2 linked regions of the Oryctolagus cuniculus genome follow. The protein of the gene in region 2 binds, or shares a complex with, the protein of the main gene of each other region. Links are inferred from orthologs where the notes say so. Each region holds a gene or a part of one and is shown on either strand. Other genes may lie near its edges.

Region 1 (4,121 bases), on a different chromosome or scaffold from region 2:
GCCCGTGAAAGTGTGTGCCTAAGTAAGATTTGGGTGGGCGTTTCTCATGACACTTTGGGACACCTGCATCCCATATTGGGAGGAGAGCCTGGGTTCAAGTCTCAGCGCCAGTCCCAACTCCAGCTTCCTCTAATGCACATCCTGCAGAAGCAGGCGATGGCTCAAGTGCTCGAGTCCCTGTCACTCATGTGGGTGACCTAAATTGAGCTCCAGACTCCTAACTTGGAGGCCTGGCTCAGGAGAATCTGTTGCAGGCATTTGGGGAGTAAATCAGTGGGTGGAAGATCTCTCTCTGTCTCTTTCATTCTGCCTTTCAAATAAAATAAGCAACTAGCACATTTTTAAAAACACAAAATTATTTTAAAAAATAAATAGCGCTGTTCTCACCACACCCACTAAGGCCATCCTAGGGCAAGCTACCACCAACCACCTCACTTCCTCGGTAGCCTCCTGCAGACTTTCGTGTTCTCTGTTGTGTGCTTTACACACATCAGCAAGATTAACTTTTAAAAATCCGAACCGTAGCTCACCCTCCTCCATGGCTTCCCGTTGCCCCGCAGGGTCTGGCCCCTTGCCCACTGCACTGAGCCTCGCTGCTGGCTTCTAACTGCTCCTGCCCACAGGGCAGGCACATCCTACCTCTGCAAGTGTGGCTGATTGCCTTATTTAAGCCCCAGGTGCTCCACCCCCGGCCATCCCCCAACTCAGGTTTGCAGGGTTCATTCCATCAAGTCTGTATGTGCTCAGAGGTCTCCCAAGAGAGGCAGTATCTGACCCAACATCCACCCTACCCGCTGCTCCACTTGCCCCACACCACTTAAGACTGCCTGCAGTTGCGGTCACTGCTGTGTCTTCTGTCTCCCTCTCCCAATCCACTAGACGGCAAGCTCCAAGCCAGCCTTTGCTTTATCCGCTCCGCCTAGGGCACTGCCCGGCATCTAACTGCTGCTCAGTTAGTACTTGTGGCATGGTTGCGTTCTCTCCAATTTCTGTTCCTCCTGAACCTTTACAGCCGTCCTCATTTCATATCCGGCTCCTCTGCAAATGTGAAACTCCGCGCGCTTTCCCAGCAGTCGTCCGCTCTCCCTACCCTTTCCTGAGCAGCGGCTCCTTTAAGCGGACTCCGGATTTCCCCCCTCCCACCAGGGAAGGCGGGACCAAAGCCTGGCCGACGCCGACCCGGAGAGGCGGGGCGGAACTAAGGGGGCGGGACATGCGTCCTGCGTGCGTGCGCGTTCTGGAGGCGCCGCCGCCGCCGCTCCCGAGGCCGCCGCCGCCGTCGCCGCGCAGAGCCGGAGCCACGGCCGAGAGGAGGGAGGAGGAGGAGGAGGAGGTGGAGGAGGCGCCGGACCGGGGGGGTGAGTGAGGGGCGGGGAGCCCCAGCGAGCCCTTGAGGGAGCAGGGGGCGCGGGTCGGCCGGGCCGGGGCAGGGGCGGCTCATGTCGCCGGTCAGTCCCTGGCTCCCCCTTCCTGCTCAGCGTTCGCTCCGTGTCCGGGGCGGCGGCCCGGGGGCCTGGCCGGCGGGAGGGGCCGGAGCTCGGGAGGCCCGGCCGCCGCCGCCAGGGCCAGAGCCAACCACGCCCGCGGACCGAGCCGGTCGACTGTGGCTGGGCCTGCGGGAGACGGACGGGAGGGGCCCGGGCCGGGTGTGGGAGAGAAAGAGGACATTGTGTCCCCCACCCTCCAACTCCCCGAGGTGTCATGGCACAAACCCATTTCCCTCGCGCGTCTCCCCGGACATGGTGTCCTCGCCCCTCGCTGCTGAGAGGTGCGGAAGATTGCACTTCGCTGCCTTCTTCCTTCTCTTGCATGTTCTCTGACTAGGGTTAGGGCTTCCTTGCAGACCCGGCTCCCCTCGGAGGCGCACGCGAGGAGGCACTTGGAGGCTCGGGCACATTTTCTGTCGTCCGTCCCCTGCCGGAGACTTACGGGCGTTCTGCCCCGCTCCTGTCCACTTGTCAGGGGTTCAGGGACTGCCTTTCCTTCCTCGATCTCCCCTCACCACCACCCCAAGTGGATGGGGCTGACGTTTCTACGTCCCAGGGCGCCTCCCAGCCCCTTTCCCGCCCTCTTTCACCCCTGTCTCCTGTAGCGTGCCATGTGTTCTTCTTGTCAGCCTTGGCTTCGCCTGGGTCTCGGCTTCTGGCCCCGATGTCGTTAGTGGGGAGGTCGCGGTGTGGTTGTCGCCTCCCTTCCGAGGAGGCTCTGCAGGAGTGTCGGGTTGGTAGCACTGTTACTTGCCCCCTCACTCAGGAAGTTAGGACGGTGTCTTCAGCTGAATTGTGAAACCCACTTCTGTACTGCTAGGAGAAGAGGACACAGTGTACCCCACCCCCGCCCCCCTAGAATAGGAGGATATCATCACCGGGCTAAAATCCAGGGTGCAGGAGACCTTTGACCTCTTGAAAAAAGAACTGTGCTTAGGAGTGATGTATTCCTTTTGGGGAGGGAAAATCGTTTTGGTACTGCTTTGAAAGGAGGAGGGTGTAAGAAATAAAGTGCACCAACAAGGCAGTAGGTTCATGGGCCACAGGTAGCCACTGTTTTCCGATTTGGGGGTGACAGATGGTGATTCTGTGTGGGTTTGGTTTTTTACAGTAAGAATGAAGTATCAGCGCTTGCACTTAACTTTTTTGAAGGACTCCTACCTTCAAAAACATGCCGAAGGGCAGTCTCAGAAAAGATGCTGTTGGAAACAGGATTTGGAAACTTTCTTTGGGTTTCCTGTCTGAATGTGTGGGGGTGGGCATGCCGGTGTGTAGTGTTGCTTTTCTTTTGATGTAGTTGATTTATGTGATACTTTGACACAATAAGCCCTGAATTAGGCCCCAGACTCCTCCTCTGTCTTTATTATGCTTTCCTGTAGTGCTTTTTTTCTGAAATTCTTTCTGATATTATTTTTTAATGTGGTGTTTCAGTGAATCTTCTGTTGATTCCTTGGTATTTTGAATTGCCTTCTTTAAATATGCTTAGGTGTTGAGAGTCACACATGTTCGCTATTCATTGAATGAACTGAATGATTACAAAGATGTGTCTAGCTATTATTTATCTTCTGTCATTTTTGAGGTACCTTATGTTAGGATTTTATATTTGACATGGAATAAATGAAATAATTTTTAACCTTTTCTAGGCTGCTGACACCTTCCAGAATATAATGAAATATGTGGACACTGTCCCGAGAAAAAAAGTAACAGACATTACGCATAAAACTGCGTTCAAGGCCGGCGCCGTGGCTCAATAGGCTAATCCTCCACCTTGCGGCGCCGGCACACCGGGTTCTAGTCCCGGTTGGGGCGCCGGATTCTGTCCCGGTTGCCCCTCTTCCAGGCCAGCTCTCTGCTATGGCCAGGGAGTGCAGTGGAGGATGGCCCAGGTGCTTGGGCCCTGCACCCCATGGGAGACCAGGAAAAGCACCTGGCTCCTGGCTCCTGCCAGGATCAGCGCGGTGCGCCGGCTGCAGCGGCGGCCATTGGAGGGTGAACCAACGGCAAAAGGAAGACCTTTCTCTCTCTGTCTCTCTCTCTCACTGTCCACTCTGCCTGTCAAAAAAAAAAAAAAAAAAAAAAAAAAAAAAAAAAAAAAAAAAAAAAAAAAAAAAACTGCGTTCAGTCTCAGGGGCCCTCTGAAACCAACCATTGACACCTATCTTGGAATCCTTGAGTAGTATTCAATTTCGTATCAAAAATGTTCAGAAGCCTTGTTGCCTCTTTGTGTGGCCTCAGGAATGATGGTGTGTACACTTGCATTCCAGACGTTGGGTCTCTGGCAACAAGATATAAGACTGATTACTGTTAAAATTTTATGGGGAAAAGTTAGTCCACATTTGTAACTATTACTGGTTAGTTTTAAATTAATATGCTGACTGCTTCTAAAGTATAGAATTATTCTAGACACTTTTTAAAAAAGATTTATTTTATTTTATTGGAAAGACAGAGTTACAGAGAGAGGTAGAGAGAGAGAAAAAGGTCTTCCATCTGCTGGTTCACTCCCCAGATGGCCGCAAAGGCTGGAGCTGCGCTAATCCGAAGCCAGGAGCCAGGAGCTTCTTCCAGGTCTCCCACGTGGGTGCAGGGGCCCAAGGACTTGGACCATCTTCTACTGCTTTCCTAGGCCATAGCAGA
Region 2 (2,929 bases):
GTTAACACTCACATTTCATTTGATCCTTTGGGGACAGAATGCAGGCACGCCGTCCTCTTAGCAACCCAGAAACATGGCCTGTGCAGTGTTGGTTTGAGGCACCTCTATCACGTGGGACGGTCACATGCCCAGAGACCGCACCTAGACATGGGAAAGGGACAGGGCAGCCCAGGGAAACTTCTGTCTGCTTCCTGCAAGTGGGAATTTCAAATACTTGAGAAATAGTTCTAATTTCAGAAACCTAGAAAATTCGGTGCAGGTAAGTCTGGGATGAGGGGAGAGGCTAGTGTGCTCTCAAGGACTTTGGGAAGTTCTGCAGAGTAAACTTGACCATCCCTGTGAAGTCAGAGTCCTTAACAGGCCTTGAGATATATTCCTCCATGAAGGCCTAACGGTGAAAATTGGAGATTTCGGTTTGGCAACAGTAAAATCACGGTGGAGTGGTTCCCAGCAGGTCGAACAACCTACCGGCTCCGTCCTGTGGATGGTGAGCAATCTGGGCTCCCACGGGCAGTGCAGGGCGAGAGCACCGCTCCGTGGTTGTCTGCAAATGCCCTAAGGCCAGGTGACCCCTAGAGTTGGACAGCCTGGGGCAGTCTAAGGAATGAGGAACGGGAGACGAGCCATTCTGCAGCTGGGCGTGGACAGCACTGAGCAAGCTGGCACAAGCTGTGCGGGCCCTGGTCAGAGACCAGGATTCCGGAGCTGCTTCGGCCCCTGTTTGAGAGGCGGCAGTCCGCTGGGGAAGAGCTGTCTAGGGGTTACGAGTGGGATGGCCTGGGCCCCGGATGGCTGGGGGAACTCTCTCGGGGTGACTGATGGCTTTGTCCCTGTAGGCTCCAGAGGTGATCCGAATGCAGGATAACAACCCCTTCAGCTTCCAGTCTGACGTCTACTCGTACGGCATCGTGTTGTACGAGCTGATGACAGGGGAGCTTCCCTACTCCCACATCAACAACCGGGATCAGGTGAGGCTGCACTGGCTCGCTCACTCGTGGGAGCCTGGGCCTCCTGTCAGGCCTAAGCAGCAGCAGGGTTAGAGGTGTTACATCCTGTTCCCTAGATCATCTTCATGGTGGGCCGGGGCTATGCCTCCCCGGATCTCAGCAAGCTCTACAAGAACTGCCCGAAAGCCATGAAGAGGCTGGTGGCTGACTGCGTGAAGAAAGTTAAGGAGGAGAGGCCTCTTTTCCCCCAGGTGAGCCTTGTAGCTAGAGTGCTGGCCCTGATCAAAGCAGGTGTTGGTGCCCTGCAGTGCGGTGGGGGAGGGGAGGGGGAGTCTTCCGTGGGCAGGGGAGGGGGGCTGCAGCTGAGCGAGCACAAGCCCCCCCCCCCCCCCCCCATTTCAGATCCTGTCCTCCATCGAGCTGCTCCAGCACTCTCTGCCGAAGATCAACCGGAGCGCCTCTGAGCCATCCCTCCACCGGGCAGCCCACACTGAGGACATCAATGCTTGCACGCTGACCACGTCCCCGAGACTGCCCGTCTTCTAGTGACTGCACCTGCGCTCAGGCAGCCGGGCAGGTAGGGACGTCCGCAGGCACCACTTCTCTGCTCCCTTTCTTGGGCGCAGAGCGCATGTTTTCAGAGAAGCTGCTGCTGCTAAGGACCTTCGAGACTACTCACTGGGCCTTCACTTCACGTTGCCTTCTTTTCTACCCTTTCTGGCCCTGGGAGAAGGAAGCCATTCACCATGCTGGCCTGTCCTGCTCGCCCCCTCGTTCTCGGGAGCGCGCAGAGCCCAGCCTTCTCCGGCTGCATTAGTAGATACAGATGGCAATACAGGAGGCGGCCGCGCTGTCAGCTCAGTGAGTCGTCTTGAGAGAGGAAGCTTACTCCAAGGGGAAGTCAAGGCAGCCGGCCAGCCCTCTGGTGGGAGGATGCACGGGAGGTGCCATCCGCTCCTGAGAGGAATGCGGCTCGCAGCAGGGACTCCGTCAGAGCTGGTGCAGCCCAGTTTGCACATACTGCACCAGACAGCCCAGGACTGCCCGGAGGAGCTGCTTCGGTACTACGGGAGGTGACTGGGGACAGCCCCTGCGGGCCCAGCGCGCTGGGACGGCTTTCCGAGCAAGGCCCTCCCCATCTCCACCCTCTCAGGGAGCAGTCTTCCGTCATGCTGAATTTCGTCTTCCAGGAGCTGCCCCTATGGGGCGGGCTGCACAGCCAGCCTTGTCTCGACTCATATCATTGTGTATGCAAGGAAGCCAGTAATAAGAGGTTTTCTTGATGATTTGGGTTTTAATTTTGTTTTTATTGCGCCTGACAAAATACAGTTATCTGATGGTTCCTCAATTATGTTATTTTAATAAAATAAATTAAATTTAGCTTTAATGGCTGTTACCTCCTTTTTTAAAGTAACGCTGAGAACGCGTAGCTGGAATTCTCCCCTCGTTCACTCCCTCCCGGAGCAGAGCTCAAGCCTCAGGAGCTCTTGTCTGTGTTCTTTACCATCCCTAGTGAAGAGTCAGCTATGTGCACCGAGCAAAAAGCACTCTAAACTCCGGGAAGAGATCTTCTACCCACACTTTAATGGATTTTACAGTGTATTTGGTATCTAGCTTTTAACACAAACAGCTAAATGCAGGCCTGGGGTGGGTTTGCTCTGACTCAGAAGGTTCTGTGTGCTTCAAATGTCAACAGCTGATTGCCCTCGCGCCTGTTCAGGACCACTGCTAACCAGAACCTTCTGGATGCCCTCAAGTTTTCAGAGTTCACATCAAAGCCAGGTAAGAACGAACAGCTGGCTTCAGTGCGAACTTCACCTTGTCTAAGTATGTGTGTATGTTTGAAGCCCTTGATGTAATTACTCTGGTGGGCACGAGCCAGTGGGTGAGAGTGGGGACTTGGTTTGCATGGACGACTCTGGCTGGAGGCCCTGCCTTGAACTTGGCTGCCTGTCCAGTACTTGTACTACTTCAGGAGCCTC

Evidence for each region.
Region 1: the proteins of RAF1 (region 2) and RAP1A are in contact, whole or in part, in a crystal structure (PDB 3KUC), measured with the Homo sapiens proteins. The link is inferred for Oryctolagus cuniculus from reciprocal best matches to the Homo sapiens genes RAF1 and RAP1A. Residues at the interface, in NP_001341619.1 of Homo sapiens: Thr57, Arg59, Asn64, Lys65, Gln66, Arg67, Thr68, Val69, Val70, Lys84, Lys87, Val88, Arg89, Gly90; in NP_001010935.1 of Homo sapiens: Val21, Gln25, Ile27, Val29, Asp33, Pro34, Ile36, Glu37, Asp38, Ser39, Tyr40, Arg41.

Annotation. Positions count from the first base shown.
Region 1 is NC_091438.1:58,749,111-58,753,231, reverse strand, and holds the start of RAP1A (ras-related protein Rap-1A), read left to right. Parts: upstream 1-1,207; 5' UTR 1,208-1,358; intron 1,359-4,121. UniProt on the Homo sapiens protein: Counteracts the mitogenic function of Ras, at least partly because it can interact with Ras GAPs and RAF in a competitive manner. Together with ITGB1BP1, regulates KRIT1 localization to microtubules and membranes.
Region 2 is NC_091441.1:114,681,232-114,684,160, forward strand, and holds the end of RAF1 (RAF proto-oncogene serine/threonine-protein kinase), read left to right. Parts: intron 1-368; coding exon 369-487; intron 488-836; coding exon 837-968; intron 969-1,063; coding exon 1,064-1,198; intron 1,199-1,349; coding exon 1,350-1,493; 3' UTR 1,494-2,334; downstream 2,335-2,929. UniProt on the Homo sapiens protein: Serine/threonine-protein kinase that acts as a regulatory link between the membrane-associated Ras GTPases and the MAPK/ERK cascade, and this critical regulatory link functions as a switch determining cell fate decisions including proliferation, differentiation, apoptosis, survival and oncogenic transformation.